Bombyx mori: one gene and its partner. The protein of the gene in region 1 interacts with the protein of each later gene in a pairwise test. Links are inferred from orthologs where the notes say so. Each region holds a gene or a part of one and is shown on either strand. Other genes may lie near its edges. The genes, in order: Ck2b and RING-box protein 2.

What was found.
Region 2: the proteins of Ck2b (region 1) and RING-box protein 2 interact in a two-hybrid assay, tested with the Homo sapiens proteins (2 studies listed by BioGRID). The link is inferred for Bombyx mori from reciprocal best matches to the Homo sapiens genes CSNK2B and RNF7.

The regions. Positions count from the first base shown.
Region 1 is NC_085121.1:1,778,079-1,782,654, forward strand, and holds the start of Ck2b (casein kinase 2 beta subunit), read right to left. Parts: upstream 3,061-4,576; 5' UTR 3,025-3,060; exon of another isoform or gene 2,897-3,024; intron 2,775-2,896; exon of another isoform or gene 2,774-2,774; 5' UTR 2,771-2,773; coding exon 2,699-2,770; intron 2,626-2,698; coding exon 2,523-2,625; intron 2,289-2,522; coding exon 2,189-2,288; intron 1-2,188. UniProt on the Homo sapiens protein: Regulatory subunit of casein kinase II/CK2.
Region 2 is NC_085111.1:9,083,694-9,088,248, reverse strand, and holds the start of RING-box protein 2, read right to left. Parts: upstream 2,936-4,555; 5' UTR 2,207-2,935; coding exon 2,053-2,206; intron 1,435-2,052; exon of another isoform or gene 199-1,434; coding exon of another isoform or gene 1-198. Other genes in the region: facilitated trehalose transporter Tret1, read left to right, coding at 1-198; uncharacterized protein LOC101738136, read right to left, coding at 3,894-4,030, 4,226-4,416. UniProt on the Homo sapiens protein: Catalytic component of multiple cullin-5-RING E3 ubiquitin-protein ligase complexes (ECS complexes), which mediate the ubiquitination and subsequent proteasomal degradation of target proteins.

The DNA of each region.
Region 1 (4,576 bases):
AGCCACCATGGCCACCGGCGCTCTACTCGTTTGAGGAGCTGCCGGTGGGGCCTTTTTGGTACCCCGCCGGGCCACCACGTTCCACCCCTCATCCATATCTGACGGGGGCGGAGGCAGCGGGCGGGACTGGGGTGCTTGTAGTGAGGGCTTCGCGTTAGCGCGACCCCCTCGCTTGGTTCTATCCCGTCCCGGGCCCGACCTGGTGACTGGAGCCCGTACGGGAGCAGGACGAGCGGCCAAAGCACCCGACACCGCCGGCCGCCTAGCGTCAGCCGAGGTAGGGACTTTCGCCTCGAGAGCCGCCAACCTGCCGCCCAGCCTTTCTATTACAGCCTGGATGGTGCGGCTGATGACCTCTTCCAGGCTGAAGTTTGTTGGTTGTAGCGGAGCCAACATCCGTGGCCCCGCGAGTGCTTGCTGTCGCTCGGCAGCGGTCGTCTCCCTAGAGCGCGGCGACGGGAGACGCGGCCTCTGCTGTGCCACACGCGGTGGCGGCAGCACAGGCCATCGGTCGCCAGTCAGCGCCGGGGGACGGGGACCTCGAGGGGCTCCAGCGACCCAAGGCGTCGCTGCGCCATCATTGGGCTGCTGCTGTGCTTGAAGCTGTGCTCGAAGCCTCGAATTCTCCGCCCTCAGCTGCACTACCTGGTCATTGGCAGAAGCAACCGAAGGCAGAACCTTCGAGACTTGCGAGACCACTTCTCGCAGTTTACGGCCAGCGGCTTTGGTCTTGGTGCCGTTGGCCGCATAGGTTTTGATGGTCTTCATGGCCCTGTCTATGACCAAGGCAGGGTCCTGAAGGCCACCCTCTTCCTCCTCCGTCGTCTGCCCGTCCAGTGAGGCGACAGACATCGACACTGATGATGGCGCCGGTGACGGCGCGCCCCTTCTACGGGCGGGTCTTCCTTTAGGGGGCGGCATCTCCTCTGCAGCAGATGCCGCATCGGAGACTACCAGCACTTTCTCCGGCGGGGCATCCGCACCAGAGGACGATGCTGGCTCCCCTACCCCCTCACGAGAGGAAACTCGCCAGGATTTCCTCTTCCGCCTGATCTTCTTGGCGGCTGTCCCTTTCGGATCAACTGTTTCGCCGTCGCTGACGAGCGCAGAACGCGTCGAGCCAGCGCTGGCACACCTCGGTTCGACGGGTTTTCCGCTGCCCGTCGCACAGCCCCCTTCATCATGGCATTCTTTGCCCCCCCCAGAATACGCGGGGCAGCGTGCTCCCACCGAGGTGAAAGCACGGAGGGATTCTCCACCTAAGGTGGTACCCTCCTGGGGTAATTTTTGTTTTAAGTTTGCCATCATTATATTTGTTCCTTTTTATTTAACCAGGGGTCGGTCCCCTGGGACGGTCCTCACGACTGGACTCCCTCCAGCCACTCATCTCATCACCGGACACGTCACAAGCTTAAGATTAGGGCATTTTTTATAGAGGTTCGCATCCTCGCGGCCCCTGCTAGGCAGCGGCCCCCGCCTCCTACTCGGTAGGGATTACGGTATGCTTCTACGAAGCCACGCCGGTAAACCGGTACCCCCCTCTGGAGGGCCTTCCCCTGTAGCCACCAAGAGGCAGCCGGGGACATGACGACCAGCGACCGGAAGGGAGTGCCCTCCGGTTCACTTCTCATCCACGTGGGTCTACCATTACTGACAGACCCACACGTCTGACCACGTTGTGGCCACGCCGGCGTACCGGTACCCCCCTCTGGAGGGCCTTCCCCTTTAACAGCCAGAGAACCGCCGGGGACATGGCCTAGCATACAAGAGGCTCCAGAAGGGAGCCCTCTTCGCTCTTCACGCACCCTTTGCTTAGCAAAGGTGGGAAAAGGGAACACGGTGTGCAGTCTTCTTAGTTCACGCCACCCCTGTGCAGACAACGCTGCTCCACGGTATCGGGGTGCACGCTTAAGCCCCACCGCCACGACAAGGCGAGACCACGTTGTGTGGGGACAACAATAACCCTAGTCGGTTATATGACTGTGGCATTGGAAATGTAGTGTAGCTTAAGTTAAGTTATTATCTTGGGATATAAAAAAAAATATTTAAATATTTAGTAAAGACCCCTTTTGAGTACTCATTACTATTATTTATCATTGATGCACTTAATTTTTTTTATAATTTGTTTTATCATACTACATTAAAAGTATTAAAGACAATAATTAACATACAATGTAATGCAACTCACCTATTGGTCAATATGTACCGGGCATGTATCAATCCATATAGTATCTCCGATGCTTGTTCCACCAGATCAGATTCATTTGGATTGTCTTCAATGTCATCATCTGAAACATTTAGATTTAATGAACATTTACAATACAACATTCTCATTTATGATGATTCTGATGAATGCAGAATTTCATAAATGAGAATCATGTAGAAACATACAGTTCTTTGTTTTAGAGAAATCTATTTAAATAATGGCATGCAACAAAATGTCTGCAACTTTCATTTTATATTTGATTTTCAATAGTACTTTACAATTAAGTTGAGAAGGAAAATTATTGTTAACTGATCACCTGGCTCCAGATCCAGAATCATGTCCAGCGCCTCTCTATAATGTGGAACTTGCTCATTTAAGCCGGTTAGATTAAATTTATCATTTATGTAGTCTTCGTCAACCTGCACAAGATATAATATTATGACGATCAATAAGGTAACATTTTATTACAGCGATCGAATAGTCGAGACTCACCTCACAGAAAAACTCATTGCCTCGAAGCGTGCAAAACCAAGCGATCCAGGATACCTCCTCGGAGCTGCTCATTTTTCTAATAAAACAATCATATTAAATTAGGTATGTGGGACGAAAGAATCACATAAATACAATCAAAACTTCAGACCCGCCACACGTTGCTGTTACAACAAATTTTATGCATTCCTATGTTATCACCTGTTATTTTATGTCTTCAAAGCTGTTTTTCACAATTTCACAGTAAATTAACGAATTTGGCAAAGATTTAATGTGTTTTTTTTCGCAGTAATCATGGAATATTGAGATAAAATGACGACAAACCTCACCTTTTCGTGCCTTGATTAGCCACGCTTGACGGGAGGATACACCTCTTGGAAAGAGGGAGAGAGAAATTGCAAATTTCAGTGTGTGCGTACGGAATATGAATAGAATGATTTTGTCGATGCTCTAGTCTATGATCTGAGAAAAATATTAATCTCTATATTTTCATGTCCACAGTCAAATTTTTTCCTCGAATGGTCGGTGTTTCACATCTATATACTATATAGTAAGTAAAAGCTGCTATATGATTAAGTAATATGAAAATTTCGTGGTGTATGACCTTTTTTCATAGAAGTGTAAAAGGACCGAATCCCGTGAACTGCAATATTTTATTTATTGATGTTTGATATTAATGGAGGTATGTAACAGTTTAATATTTGTGACAGTTTAAAACTAACTTGTAGACGTTGCAGAAATGGCACAAAAGAGCTGCACTTAAGTAATCACTGAGGTTCTAGTAAAAATTCCAGTAATGTGTTACTGTTAAACTCCTATGTTAAATATTAATATTGTAATAAATTTTAATGAAGAATAAAACTTTCCTAGCGTTTTGTTTCGTCGTAGGCTACCATTTAATAGTGACGTCTGTGTAGGAAAGAATCCGTTTCCACCGTGCGACTATTTATTTTCGGTACATGATTATTCCAAAAGTTCAAATTCGGGGATAACAATTCTATAGCAGTGCTACAATAATAAAAAAATGGAACATACTTAATTAAATGCGCTCCGCTGGAATGGTCAACTGGGTAATAGTATTGTTATCAACCTCGACATAGCTGTGCAGGTGCTGCTTGAGGTCTTAAATTAGTATATTATCTATGCTTGTATCGTCCACCTGCAGAGAACGAGCTGTACCGTGTTTATTCTGCCGTGAATGTCATGCATTTCACCGGTCATCGTTCTCGTCGAACCCGTCACTTGCGACGAAGGGCTCGAGTAAGTTAACCCACAGACACAGCCTACTGAGTTTCTCGCCGGATCTTCTCAGTGGGTCGCGTTTCCGATCCGGTGGTAGATTTTGCGAAGCACGGCTCTTGCTAGGGTTCGTGTTAGCAACGTCGTCAGGTTTGATCCCCATGAGCTCACCTACTAATTATAGTTACGCTGAAATAGCCTATCAAGGCTATCCGCTTAGGTAGGAAAAAAAAATGCGTTTCAATATGAGGAAAACGCCAGCTGTACACGGTCGTCGAAACACCACGAGACAGGTCGAGGACGAGTGTGTAGAGTAAGATCCTAGGGCCAGCAGACGTCACGTATTTTCTGACGAACGAAATGTGGCCGATCGCGTAGTGTTAGTTTTTTTTTTTTAGATGGGTGGACGTGCTTACAGCCCACCTGGTGTTAAGTGGTTACTGGAGCCCATAGACATCGACAACGTAAATGCGCCACCCACCTTAAGATATAAGTTCTAAGGTCTCAGTATAGTGACAACGGCTGCCCCACCCTTCAAGCCGAAACGCATTACTGCTTCACGGCAGAAATAGGCGGGGTGGTGGTACCTACCCGTGCGGACTCCCAAGAGGTCCGACCGCCAGTGATTACGCAAATTATAAT
Region 2 (4,555 bases), on another chromosome or scaffold:
ATCAGCGCGGCGGGCACGTTTTGGCTCTTCGGGAGTATTTGTTTTGTAGGCTTATTCTTTGTTATTGTTTGCGTACCAGAAACGAGAGGCAAAAGCCTTGATCAAATTGAAAATAAAATAACCGGTAGAGAAGAGAAACCCAGAACTCGTCGACTAAGCTCGATAGCAAACATTAAGCCTTTGCCAAACGGATGCTAAGAAGATGTTTTAAGCATTTATTAATTGAATAAAATTAGCTTTAAAGTAGCAATTAATAACTTTTACTATATTCTTTTCACAATTTTTAGGCAGTAAAAACGTTGTGTAGAAAAAGATTTCTATAAAAAAATCTTATATCTAATAGTACAATGGTATCATACTTAGTTGTTGTAACTGGTTCTATTGGTAGGTAGACTTTACGAGGATTATAATTTATGACATGAATGCCAAAGTATTTTAGTAGTTTTTATTGGGAAATTATTACATTTAGTAACTATTTATAATGATTTTATTTTGTAGTTTGTATCATACACTACTTCATGTAAAATACTAAGCTTTTTGGCAATCTTATAACAGAGTTTAATCTATGCCGTAAAGTTAAAATCATAAGTTACTTATTTAGTTTGGTGGTAGGACCTCTTGTGAGTCCGCACGGGTAGGTACCACCGCCCCGCCTATTTCTGCCGTGAAGCAGTAATGCGTTTCGGTTTGAAGGGTGGGGCAGCCGTTGTGACTATACTGAGACCTTAGAACTATATCTCAAGGTGTGTGGCGCATCTACGTTGTAGATGTCTATGGGCTCCAGTAACCACTTAACATCAGGTGGGCTGTGAGCTCGTCCACACATCTAAGCAATAAAAAAAAAAAAAAATAGTTACTTATATTAGTTGTAATAAAAAATGTTTTTTTTAAACTTTAATATGAAAATAAATGGTAAGATCTAAAGAATAAATTTCACTTAATGGAAAGAGAGTCACATCCTTAAATTATAATTCGAACCATTACAATTCACAGAATCATTACATTGAAGGCACTGTACTAATCTCTTTTAATCGAATTGTGCCTATGAATAGAGTTATATGTACCTGCAATTTCAAATTTTAGAACTAACTAAGAAAACAATAGTTAACTATTATTTTTACGAAACAAGGGGGGCCAGACCACATGGAATCTATATTGTACAGCTTTCAAACATATTGATTTGTCGGTCCAATGACTATTATTATTTATTTGTTTAATTTGACAAGCACACATATTGATATGAATTGTAAGTGTAACTATGTTTCCATTCATGAAAGTTAGTAAACAGTTCAAGTTAAGAGGAGACATATTGGTAATGTTCAAAAGTATATAGCCCACCCAGAACCAGGACATGACCCAGGACCTAGGTGTTATTATGTTATATTATGTTGTATTAAGAGAGAATTATTAGAATTAAAGAAAGTATGATCAATCGATTCTGCTTTTACTACGGCAAAATAATATTTATGTTTAAGTCAGTATTCTTTACAATTCTTTAACAGATTGATGGATTAATAAACAGGATTATTTCAATGTAATATAATGAAATTTAAACTAAAATGCCTTAATTATGGCCTTAAATTTAAAGCGTAATTAAATAGTTTGAGAATAATTCACACGCACACAACATTTTTAATTTTGAAAATCCAAATATATAACATTGATAGAACAATATTACTACTGTTTTGTTTAATATATTAGTAATTATATTCTATCCCTAAATAATGTAATCATTTTAAAAAAAGTAATGACTCTCAATGCTAATTGGCAACATTCATCTTAACTTAAAATAAAAATAAAATACTTTTAAGAAAACATACTTAGTGCTCAAAATCTAGTTCTAATTATGATCGGCACAGCACACTAAATATTACTTGTAATATGATTATAGTAGGGTAGTAATATTTTCTTTAATAGTTCTATATATTCTAATCTGGAAAATAACTGTCATCTTGTCCAAGCAATTAATTTGTTAAATAAATTTGACTCACTATCACTTTGATGAATATCTATGAATTGATTCATAAACAACATAAATAATTAAAAACTTACCCATTACTTGCACGCGGCAAATAGCGCAAGTATCACATTCAACATCCCAACTCCACATTGCAACAGCATTCCATTTTTTCAATGTGAACATTTTATCGGATTTTGGACCATCGTTATCCCCACGGTCCATACCATCACAGTCTTCACCGGACATAATGTATGCGTTTTAATGTTTATGGTAAATATTTAAGGTAACTATTGAAAATTAAATGCGTACATTTACAATGCTCGACTTGTTTACTATTTTTAAAAACATAATCAGGTGAGATTTTGAAGTGGCAGTGACAGCTTTGACAGACTGACTTTTCTAATTGTTGCGGTAAAAGGAAATAGCCTATACTGATAAAGATTTAATTTAAAGAGTAATCTTCGACGTAATGTTCGTATAAACTCTGAATTACATCCACGCAATTAATGAATGAATAATCATCCCATGAGTTTTTTAATCCGGGGAATATTGGCTTAAAGTTAACAAAAAGAAACTAGATGGCGTTGGTGGGTTAATTCATAACATTAGTGTAACAGCAACCGTAAACGTATTTTACAGATGTACCCTGTGCGTCAGTTGAACTGCATGACATATTGGACTGTTTAGGACTGACTCGGAGGTACAGTACCTAGCGGCCTTGATTGTTGCGCCGAGGGTTATGTGTTAGATTCCCACATCGAGCAAACATTGCGTGATGAACAGTTTGTTTGCTCTTTGTTTGGGTGTTTATTATCTATATACATATGTATATATTTGAACGTATATAAGTATGTTAGTAGTCTCTGGTACCCGTAACACAGGGAATCCTAAATTGGGGCCGGATGACCGTGCTTAATTAAAAATAAAAAGGTTTAAAAAGCGTTAGATCAAATTTGATAAATAAATAGTCTAAATCGCAATACCTTCTTTTTTTTGCGCGTCGTAGGCAGAACGCCAGCCAGATGGTCAGATCTGGTTGGTGGTAGTCTATATCATGCGGTCCATGCCACCCATGATCAAACACTGTGGATGAAAATCACATGTGGTCGCGATCCTCAGCGGTGAGAGAACGATGAAAAAGAAGATGGAAATTAATTCCAATCGATTAATGTCTCATTTCGCTTCATATAATTTTTCATATTACGACACAATGTTATAAGATAACATTAATACAATACTTGGTTTACGATACGATAGCTTTACGATAGTTTGGCCTCAAATTTGAAAACGACCCAGATCGTCTTGTGGAATTTCACCCTGCCTATTTCTCTAACGAAGTAATAAACATAATAAGTGCATTATCTATGACGAAGTAGTAGGTAATGCCTTCCGGTTTCATGAATGGGGCCATTGATTTAGTGATGTGTTTGTACTTCGGTTCCGGTGGTAGATTCTGCGAAGCATAGTTCTTGCTACGGTCAGTGTTAGCACACTCAAGTTGAGCCCCGCGAGCTCACCTACCAAATAACTCAGAACTAATAACATATATAGAATAAAAAATAATACAAAGGCTATTTGTTACAGTAGATTTTATTTATAAAAAAACACGAAAATTGCTTAAAGTCTACGTTTATACTTAATGTATTATATATGGAAACTATATTTTGTATAAAATAAGTACAATAAACCCTGTTATATCTGGTTTTTATAATATGTATATATTATAATATTTAATGTTTTATACTCAATAGGCTCCGCCACGCTTTTTGTACAATCTTATTGTAAATTGGAAATCTTAAACTACACGTGTATGAAACAAAATACGATATTCAAAATGAACGATAACTTATAGATTTGTTTTGTGTTAAAAGTAGGTTGGTACTATTACTATCGGTAGGAAAAAATAACGCTTCTCCAAATTTAATACCCGCAGTTAGAATATTGCGAGATACAAAGAAGTCAGAATAATTGCGAGGCTGGCTCCTAGACTTGATGCTCCACTAAAACACCCCAGGTCTTCAATTTGGACTTGATATCTAATGTTGTATGGGAATCTGCATACCGAAGCATCTAGAATTAAAAAACAGTCCATTAGGAATGACCATTTCTTTATGTGAAATTTGTTAAAAAAGGTGTAAGAGGAAAAAACATATAATTTGAATGAATCTCTTATTAGTCAATACTTACTAGGTACTCAATTAAAAAGTGACATAACTATTATTAATATTAGTAAAATACCCATATAATTTTGGATGTAAATCATACCTGTGCAAATCGCGCTTGTGGCATCAACACCACCAGTTTCTGATTGTACGGAAATGTGTAGTGGTGGACATGATCCTATGGTCCAAAAACTGTCGCAAGCATTCTGCAGCCTTATTTCAATATTTCCGGTGGAAGCCAAATTCTCACAAGTTATTGCGCTTGGATCAAGTCCTACTATTGTTGTGTTGCGTCTGGAAGTCAAAGAATTTTTAAAGGCATCTCGAATAATACCATCCTTTTCCCGTGGCAACAGCGTTTTTAGACTATTTCTAAAGCGATCGTCTACTGGCATTTACTGGTGCAAGAACGAATTTGTGAGCCCGCACGATT